2 linked regions of the Caenorhabditis elegans genome follow. The protein of the gene in region 1 interacts with the protein of each later gene in a pairwise test. Each region holds a gene or a part of one and is shown on either strand. Other genes may lie near its edges. The genes, in order: fbxa-171 and Y105C5B.19.

What was found.
Region 2: the proteins of fbxa-171 (region 1) and Y105C5B.19 interact in a two-hybrid assay, tested with the Caenorhabditis elegans proteins (one large-scale study listed by BioGRID).

Annotation. Positions count from the first base shown.
Region 1 is NC_003283.11:17,562,485-17,568,023, reverse strand, and holds fbxa-171 (F-box domain-containing protein), read left to right. Parts: upstream 1-2,020; coding exon 2,021-2,337; intron 2,338-2,380; coding exon 2,381-2,461; intron 2,462-2,800; coding exon 2,801-3,425; intron 3,426-4,622; coding exon 4,623-4,814; downstream 4,815-5,539.
Region 2 is NC_003282.8:15,980,860-15,986,030, forward strand, and holds Y105C5B.19 (Major sperm protein), read right to left. Parts: upstream 3,112-5,171; coding exon 2,449-3,111; intron 1,901-2,448; coding exon 1,763-1,900; intron 1,715-1,762; coding exon 1,481-1,714; intron 1,419-1,480; coding exon 1,322-1,418; exon of another isoform or gene 1,318-1,321; intron 1,233-1,317; coding exon 1,142-1,232; intron 1,097-1,141; coding exon 989-1,096; intron 943-988; coding exon 819-942; 3' UTR 716-818; downstream 1-715.

The sequences.
Region 1 (5,539 bases):
CATAAGGTGTTGGCGCGTGATTTGAATACGAATATTTATAGATATATTTATATCTCGGCGAATACTGAACGGATTTGAATGAAATAAAATGTAATGAAGAGATAATAATTGGAGTAATGCTCAACGGTGCGGTCGAGCTGATATAGGTTAAGAATAGTGGGCTATTCCGTAGAAACCTATATCAGAGCACTGTTAAAAAGGTTGTCGAGATTGACCTCGAAGGGCTGAATCGACAACACTAATAGAGAATATACGGTATATATAACAACTGATTGTTCCATTGTAGTAGAACTGCAGCTGTTTCTGTATTAATGTAAGAATTTTTGCTCACCTGGGAATTATTGGTGTAATTTGCATCCCCACATAATTAGTTGGTCCTCCCTAAAAAACTACGCTCTTAATTAGTAACAGTGTTTTTGCATTCAAACACAAAGATTTAAGTGATCATAATGAAGTAGAAAAGGGTTCCCAACTCTGAAATTAACAAAAACTTAATTCACTCTGCTGAAAAATTGCGAAACAACTCACGGAGATTCTGCTTTTTCTTCACATTTTTTCCATTCTCCTACTTCTAAATTTTTTTCAAGCTGATCATCCATTTTTACTAATGTTTAGTTTTTCGGATAATCTGAAAAACGAACTAAGAAAGTCGTTTCTTGCTAAATCAAAAAAATTTAAATTGGAATAAACTATTACAACGAGAAGCATTTTTTCAACGCGCTATGAGAAAACGAGTTGTCACAGCGGTTTTTTTAAAATCAATTTTATTGTTTGCGTTTTTCTGTTTGATTCTCTTTCTTAACACGGGAGATAAAAACGAAGTTGTACGACAAAGAGACTGAAGAATTGCAGAAATTCTTTTTTCATGTTCTCTGAAAAAATGATGATAAGTCGAACGAATGGAGAATGTGCGGCAAATACATACTTTTTAATGAAAAATGCAGGGAAAGTAACTCATAATATTGAATACAATTTTTAGAAAGGAGAAGATCAAAAGCCAAACTACATATGTAAAAACAAATAGACGGAACCACTTTAAAATAGTCTTTCAAAAAATAAATTGAATTGAAATCGAGAAGTAAAACCACGAAAAATACAAAAAGTCTTTACTGATTTGCCGTAGATTTGCCTGATCTTTTTGGGGTAATTTCTTCTCTTCGTATTTATATCCCTATTTGGATTGCGTGTTTTCGCCAAATACACTTGGTTTTTGATCAGAGGAGATAATATCAGTTCGTATACAACAACGCCAAGAGACTAGAGAGACTGAGGAATCAAACCAGAATTAGGTCTACCAAATTAGCAATATCAAAACTGGAACAATGTGACTTGGAAAATTAGACGAATGTGGCTAGCAATATATCACAAAAATGTTTGAAATCTTTTGTTTGTTTCAGAAAATTGTGAGAAATTTTCAAGAACGTCCATTGGGATGAAATATGCGCAAAAATGTAACTAAGATCATATTCTTACCATTTCTTATAACAATCGTCTTCCATTTTTTGGAATTTCCACTCAATGTTTGGGAAATTGGTACACCATTAATATCTGGAAAAATCTCGAAAAAGCTTGCCGGTAGGCCCATATCGCCGAAAATTTGAAAATCCTGAAAAACCCTGAGGATGGAACAGGGTGTTGTAACTATTTGAATGGGCGAGTGTCAAAGAGACGTTGGTAAAACTAATACAAACAAATTTATTTTACAGTTCATCAGCTAGAAATATATGAAGGTGGAGCAAGTAGTTGCACAGAGTTCCATTCCCCTCAGTTTGTTTCCGGATCTGCAAGGACATCTTATTTAGGCCAGTTCAAGAATGCAATTGCTGAAGGACATATAAACCCAACAAAAAAAAATGTTTTATTGCGAAACAACATGCTCGACTGTTCTCCTTTCTCTGACTAACTCTCCAGCAGTGCAAGTGCCCTCTAACTCCAATGTCAATACTGAAGAATTCGGTGAAGATATATTGCTAAGTCTAAAATTTTGATGTAATTTTTTTGCCGCGCGCATCATATCAAAATGACTTCCACCGCTCAAAAACCTTACTCCAAAACCTTCATTCGATCTTGTATTTTCTACGAAGTGCTCCAGAAAAAGACTGTGAATGAAGCCTATGAAACAATTTGCAACACCTTGAAGGAGAAGATTGCCTACAAAGAATTTGAATATTGGTTTCATAGATTTTATAATGGTAATCATGACTTGCAGGACGATAATAGGCAGATTGAAGTACGAAATTCCAATGATCTGCGTTGCTCGATCAATCCACCATCAGACGTTCCACACAAAATTTCCGAAAAAGAGTGGTGCAGGAAGTTCGTCGAATATTTTAATGGGTAAGTGCTAAGCTTCTTTACAGAAAATTTTAATGTTTTTCAGTGAGCCACAAGAACCTTCCCTGCAGAATATGCCGGAAAAAGTTTGGAATGAAATTTGTGCCAAAATGGAACTTTGCGATAGGTGAGATTTTATAAAGAAAGTATGATATTTACCGTGTGGTCATAGACTTCTATACACACCCCATGTAATTCAAAAAAGGTCCTTATGCAAAAATTGTAGCAATAAAGTAGATATGAATTATTCAGATGAGTTTTTCCATCAAAGTATTTTTTTTCATCGTCTTTTTATGAAGTTTTACAACTATAGAAACACCTTGAAATGTCTCCGAAAAAATGAATTTTGGGAAGTTTTCAAAAAACAATTAAAACAAATGTTTGACCAAAAATGTTTTTAACGATTTCTCAAATGGCATAAATTTCATCTAAAAGTCAATATGGTTTCAATCCAAAATTTTTCAAGATTCGTGGCCAGAAAAGTTTCGCGCATTCTCCGTGACAAAATTGACCAACAAGAATTTCATTTTAACGCCATGGGAATATGTTTCGAAAAAGATGAAGCAAGACTATTTTTGAACGAAAGAACCGTCAACTACTGCCCAGTACCAAACGGATGCACAATTATCTACGAGAACAGAAAAATTCAAATCAAAGGAACAGATTATCGGAAAATAGCGCTTCAAGATTTCAATACAGTAGTGACTAAAGACGCACGAACATTTTCCGTACTTTTTGAAGCACAAATGTCTGAGCAAATTCGGGAAAACATTTTCAACGATGTATTGAACGTCTTGAGATCGATGAACAAATTACGAGTCCGAAAACTAGTTTGTGAATTGAAAAACGAAGAAATCGACGCAATCCTGCCGTACTTCGAGCCTAAAACGCTCGAAGTTGTTCACTTTTTTGCCTCTTCTACAGACGGCCATAGCACAAAATTAATGGATACAGTTCAGCTGAAAAATGCAAAAGCTTTAATTTTTGACAGTGACACTTGCTCCATGAACATTGAAAAGTTCTTCCATCTAGCTTATTTTGACGTTACTGTGGATCTTTTCGCAAAAGATGATGCGATTAAAATTCGAGATGTAAGTTTTGAATGGTTCAGGGGTTAGGATTAGGCTTAGACTTAGGTTTAGGTTTAGTCTTAGGGTCAGTTCTAAGCATAATCTTATTCTAAACTCAGGCTTAGGTTTAGGCTCAGGCTTAGGCTTGGCGAGCTGACGCTTGCCAATCTAACGCTCGCCACTGACGGTATTTAGGCTCAAGAATTTCCCGTTTTTTTTTAAAATTTTTGAGAGGGTTCCAGTTGGCCGATCAACGCGAATTTTCACAGAGAGACGTATAGGTCACCAAGAAGCTTAAGTCTGAAGTTTTTGACTTAGGCTCACGCTTGAGAGTAGTATAAGTCCCACACGACACCCCCATCCCACACCAGACCCCCCTATTGACCTCTCCCAAAATGGGGTGTCCATCTATGGATGTCCATTTATGGATGGCCATCGTTTTTTATTGTTCTGTTGTATTGATCTGTTTTTTTTTTCGTTTTTTATGGAACTGTTTTTTATTAGAAAAAAATGTTGTACTGTATGGGAGAAAATCTGAAATTAAAAAAATATTTGAAATCGAGTATGTGGAATAAAATGTTTTCATTTACATTTTTGATATGTTTCATTGTGCACGCCTCCTCTCTATTACTCCGCCCCACTGCACAATCAAAAAACTCATTCTAAAGAAATTTCTTTAATAGTGCACACAGCTTTCGGATGACCTAAGTTTTCTTGCAAGCTCCATATGAAGGGCCAGGAGTTATGACTTTCAGTGTAGGGGCTTGTTGTCGTGAAAGTGTCAACTTGGATAATGATGTTCTAAATTTCTTTAGACTGACTATGAGATTTTCGATTGTGCAGTGGGGCGGAGTAATAGAGAGGAGGGGTGCACAATGAAACATATTAAAAGTGTAAATGAAAACATTTTATTCCACATACTCGATTTCAAATATTTTTTAATTTCAGATTTTCTCCCATACAGTACAACATTTTTTCCTAATAAAAAACAGTTCCATGATAAACGAAAAAAACAGATCAATAAAAAACGATGGCCATCCATAAATGGACATCCATAGATGGACACCCCATTTTGGGAGAGGTCAATAGGGGGGTCTGGTGTGGGATGGGGGTGTCGTGTGGGACTTATACTACTCTTGAGCTTAGGAGTTTAGGCTTAGGCTTAGGCATTTGCTGCAGACTTTACGCTTCAAGTATAAACAATTAACATAGTTTCAGATTTTGATGAAATCCGACACTTTCAAATATGCAAACTTCGAATCCGACGACTTCGATCCAATTGAAATTGCAAATGTATTCGTACCAGGATATCAAAGCAATCAATGGCCGATAATAAATTACACACGACACAACAAAAAATTCCTTTTGAAAATTACTCCTAATTCATTTCAAGTTAAACGGATAATATAATTTTATCGATTCGGATTTTTATAAAATAACTTTTAACTCTTTTATGTTGTAGCAATCATACATATATTTTTCAACAGTACATAAACAATACTGTTCAGCTTGTAATAGATCGAATTTGGACAATATGCTGCTCTGAGCTCCATCCAAACATTTCCTTGATTTGCTTTCGGATCTGAATATCCCAATTACTCCCTACAACCTTCACAAGACTTACAGCTCTACTAAAGCACACCAGAAGCCATGGCTGTAGAAGTGATTTCTGCCAAAGAACGAGGTTCAAGCGCATTCCTGAATTTCTAAAGTTTAACCATAGTCCAAATATCATTGTTTTTTTTATTACTCAATATCATATCTCAAATCATGATTCCCAGTTTGGAATTGATTAAACCAAAACTCAAAAGACTCAAATTCAATGACACCATTCCCAACTTTGTCGCAGAAGTTTCTATATGCCACTGTAAGCATCTTCCCGTGAAGATGCTCATAAAGGATACACGCGCGGATTGCAATTTGACTGTTTGGTATAGTTACAGCCACTTGGAATATTGGTCTTGAAATATTTGTGTTTTAAACTTATTAATTTTCAGAAGATAAGCAGTCAGAAATAATAATTGTTTTAATTGAAACGGAAATTGTGGCTATTTATGTTTTAATGAAGAAACTTCTTCTCACTCTGGAATTATTGGTGTACGATTCACGGGCATCCTTTCCGGTGAACACGACAT
Region 2 (5,171 bases), on another chromosome or scaffold:
GTGTGAAAAAGGAACATAATATTTATGAAAATTTCTCTGGCGCACTTATTTAAAAAATTTAAAAATCAATATCGTGTAAAAATACGTTGACATTATTTCATTGTACACCTTTACACTTAAACCAACATTGTGAAAAAGTACTTGAAGTATTTTTGAATTTGACGAACTCTTTATATGCAAAAATGGCGCATTTACTATATGTTCAAACTTTTTTTCCAACTATAAAAGTGAAAAGAGCTATAAAAAATGCTAAAGTACTTAAGGGCACTGAAATCTTTTTAAAGTTGGAGTTGAACATCATCTGAGCCGATGATCTCTGAGATCAATAAATTTAATTCATGTTGATGCTAACAGTTCCAATAAATGAACACCATGAAACAATTTTTATAGATTTTGTGCTCAAATTTGAAGTGAGCAACAGTTTTCTGCGCAGTAAAATTTTCACTGTTGACCCAAAACTATTTTTTAAACAGTTATTATTGATTCTTTTTAATTTATATTTAAGTAATATGCGACTCTACAAATTGTGGCTGGAAATATAGTAGAAAATCTCGAACAGAGCCAAAAATTGCACGGGACTGCAATTTCACAACAAAAACTTTTTACTATGGGACTAACATTTCATTTTAATTTTAGCTCATGTTTCACAACACATTGAAACAGTAAAAATTTGAAATTTTCAAATTATTGAAACCTTGAGAACTATGAGAGGAGCGCTGGAAAAACTTTTATATAGACAGCTGAAATGTTTTTTTTTCAGAATTGAAATACATAAGTTAATAGAAAAGTCAACAAAATATAACAATTTCAAAAACAAATTATTCCATTTCCACTTCCTCTTCGTCATTGAAAATTTCTGATTTTATACTTCCTTCTGGGTTTTCTTCGTTTACCTGATAGTTACACATCATTTCTGAGCCATTTGGGAAAATTAGTCGGGATCTGAAAAAAATTATCGATTTTTATAAAACTCAATGAAATCACAAACTCTTTGAGCTCTCCATCCTCCTTGCGGAGTTGCTCTCGGAGCCATCTTGTGGCATCTTCACTTGCTTCGTTTCCATACATTTTGTTGTGGCGGCCTCTCACACGGTCTCTGAAAAATAAATTTAGTACTGAGCCCTGAGACAGTAAAACTCACAACTTATTGCCCATAACGTCGGTGACCAGCTTCCTCACTCGAAACTTCAGGTCTCGCGATTGTTCTTCGCCGAACCCACCGAGTATGTACTCTGGAAGAGGAACATGGTTTTTTTAATATTAAATTTCCTACTGTTTCAAAGAATTTATAAATTTTTGGTGAAACGTGTGGAAAACTAACCAGCAAACCCTTCGAAAAAGTCCCTAGCGATGGGAATATATGTAGAAGCGTTTTGTGAAGTTGCGTAGCACATCATATGGGGGTCCGCAATGGCAACCTTAAATTTTTGGAGTTTACGCAAGATTCTATAAAGTCTACGCAAGACTCCACTAAGCATACCTTATCGAAAACCGTTCTCGCCAGAGCTCTCACAAGAGTCACCAAGTTAGCCGTCGACCAATTCGACACATCTCCATCCGTCACAACATCGGAAATCATGAACCATTTCCTGCTGGGCAACGTCAAAGCTCTGTCAAACTTCTCGGCTGAGTCAATTGAGAATGCCTTGTTCGTTGTGATCGGTTCCGTGATTTTCTCCGCTTTTCGAGAAATCTTCCTGTGCTGCTTGTTTGCCTGAAAGCGAATTTTTTTTAATTTTCGAAACTTTTGGAAATTGCTCACCATCGCCGTAGTGAAAGCCATTCCAAGTGCCATTTCCTCCATCAAATTCTGATTTTGTGTTCGACACCGCTTGGCGAAATTGAGCCATTCGTAGTAGTCAACATCACGGTCATTTTTGATGAGTTTCTCCAGGTTTTTCTGAAAAATTTGAAGATTTATTTGGCAGGGCTAAGGTCTTGACTACAATGATGTACTGTAAGCAACTGACATCTTACGAGTTAGACTGCAAATTCCGTGGTGGGCCCGTAAAATGTCGGCTGCTAGCAACAGCAGTTTTAAAAGAGTCCACGGGTAATATTTTGTTCCTATAAACAAGCCGACATTTCACGAGTCTCAACATTCAATATTGTTCTAACTGGGCCATTGTGGTGTCGGCTGCTATCAAATTTCAAGCACTTGGATTTCAGCTCCCGACACTTTGCGAGTTTCTTTAACAATACTGTAAAGCACCGACTTCTGCTTCCGTTCGTTCGTTTTAATGTCGGCTGCTAGCAAAAGCAGTTTTAGAGGAGTTCGCGGTGAGATTTTGTTTCTACAAGCAAACCGACATTTCACAAGTCTCGCCATGCAAACTCGTTATTCTAACTAGGCCCGTGCAATGTTGGCTGCTATCAGATTTCAATCGTCTGAACTTCAGCGCCCGACACTATACGAGTTGCTCTAGAAATAATCCCCTCAAAACCTACCTCACAAGTCTTCCGATCCAATGGTTCCCCTTTCGCATAATCGTACAATTCGGAAGCAGCGAATCCAATCGGCAACCACATCCCATGCTTAGAGGCCTGAAGAAGGGGTGCCGAAGATGTTTGAGCAATTGGAGATGAGCTGTACTCTATCGGAAGGGTCTTACGACGAACCATCCCATCTCCATCCAACCAATCACGACAGAACTGCTTGGTGGATCCTTCAGACGTATTGGTCCATTCGACAGTGATACGGTCATTTGTGGTATCTACTTGTCCGAATGCAAAAGCATCGCAGGAAATTGTTAGAAGAATCTCCTCACTTGGATCGAGTACTCCACAATTTGGAGTGCACATCGTATCAACTCTGAGTCTTTTCATATATGTATTGATTCCATAAGCAATACGAAGAGCCGAAGTATTGATTAATTTGATTTTAGATTCTTGGTTTTCATTGTACGGAGCATTGAAGATGATTTTGCTCGGTTGGAAGTCAATTTCTCCTGGTGGAAGGGATTGAGCCATCACGGGGGAAAATTCTCGGGGTCTTTTAGGCTCAAAATCCTGGTAAACCTTATGTTCGACTGGAGCAACTAGAAGATCTTCCGGTTTTTGTTCGCATAGGAGTGGATACGGAGCAGGTCTTTTTGAAGCTCGGCGGGACATCTGAAAATTGAATTTTTTTTAGATTTTGAGCGTTCAAATAAAATTCAAAAAATCAATAGTGATAATCGACGTGGTGTCAGGTACACACATTCGGTTTGATCTACGAAAAATGCGGGAATATTTATTCATAAAAATTGTGACGTAAGCACGCTCTAAACCATGCAAAATCAGATGATATGTCTGCGTCGCTGCTCCCACATTTTTTGAAGGTCAAAGCAAAATGGGACTTTCTGACTAGCACTCGTTTTTTTTAAATTAAAAAAAAGATTTGAATTAAAAAACCGCGAATTTTCAAAATTAGTGAATAACAATATAAAATTCACGAGAAACAAGAAACAACACAAAATAAAAACCGATAAAATCGAAAACGTCACCGCACGGGAAGCATTGTTTGCGCGCAATGCCTCCCGCCGCGAGTTGAGAGACCGAATTAGTGTGAGAGACGCAGGTGGTGGTAAGAGAAATGACGAGAGACGCAGAGAAAAGGAACGTTTCAGGACAACGGACGTTGGTTTACGAGAGGGGGGTTTGGAGCGTTTTTAGTGTTTATTGATTGGTTTTGATTAGAATTTTGAATTTTTCGAGCGTTTGCCCCACAACAAAGAGATGGCAAATATTAAAAAAAAACTGTTAACTGTTAGAGAAAACATCTACTGTTTAAACAACTAAGCATAAAAGAAAAATTAAAATAAAAAATTAATTAATTGAAAATACTGTTTCAAGTTTGTATTTAATATTGATGTAACTTTTTTAAAATGCTGGGGAAAATAAAAATAATTTCACTTTTTCAACTGCAAATCATAGCTCCAAGAACAACTTGACATATTATTGGACTGATAATCTGTTGTTTCGGGAACATTTGTTAACGTTTATTTTTTCAAAGATAATTCCCTATAAATGATTTTTAATGAAAGAAAAACGCGGAAATCCTATAATTTGTTTTGCATTTCGAGAATTGAAATTACAGTTTCAAGTAGACTTAAAATTACTAGATAAATTTGATCATTCAATAATGCTTTTAAGTTTGTCGAAATTTCGAAGAAAAAAAATTTGTGAAACTGCTTAAATTTTCAGAAATTAATATTATAAAACTGACTAGTTTCATTATTGTTCGTGTATTGGAAATATTTGAAAATTAGCTTTTACTGCACTGATTTATATCTCATATAGGTGAGTGAAACTCGGTAGATGTCGGGCGCTCATATTTCGTTAGCGTTAGGCGTTCTTGAGAAACCCCACAAGTAATGTGGAATAATGTGTTGATTATCGGGTTTTTTTTTCACTGTTAAAACGACTGGAAAGGTCGAAGGATCTATCTACTAAAAATAGTTACTCAAGTTTTTCTTTTGAAAACCAGTTGAAACATCTCTGACAAAATTCAGATTTCTTTTCTCAAAAAAGTGATTTGAAATTTATAAAATAATTGATATTTCTAGAACACATTAAACAACTTTATGAAACTGTTTTTGGTGTAAAATCATTTTAAATGAAGGAAAAACGGAAAAATCATATAATTTTTTACGTTTCGAGAATTGAAATTACTGTTTCAAGTAAGAAATAAGATTTCAAGAAAAGTTTACTTATTCAATAGTAATTTAATGATATGACAGTAATTTAATTCAATGAAAAAAATTGAACCATTTTCCTTCAAAAATTATCAAACTTTTCCACAGTTTTCGAACTTAAACTACTGCGAAGCCTAGCGCGCTTGACGCGCTAATCTACCGTTCTAACTTTATAAAATTCATAATCAGTAAAATTTATGAAATAATCAAAATTTTAAAGAATAAGTATTTTAAAATGTTATATTAGATACCTTATCTGCTATTCAAAAGAATGAATTGAAATATAAATAAAACGCTCCCAAATATTTTAAATGCCATCTGCATTTCGATCAATCTAGCAACAGTTTAGGAAGTTGTTTTTTATTCATGAGCGTTCAAAAAAAAATTGCGGTTTTAGAAAGTGGACAAACGGGTATTTTCATATACATATTGATGATTGAACGAAAATGATATTTTTGTAATTTTAATTTGATAGCTTTCTAAAAATGGGAATTT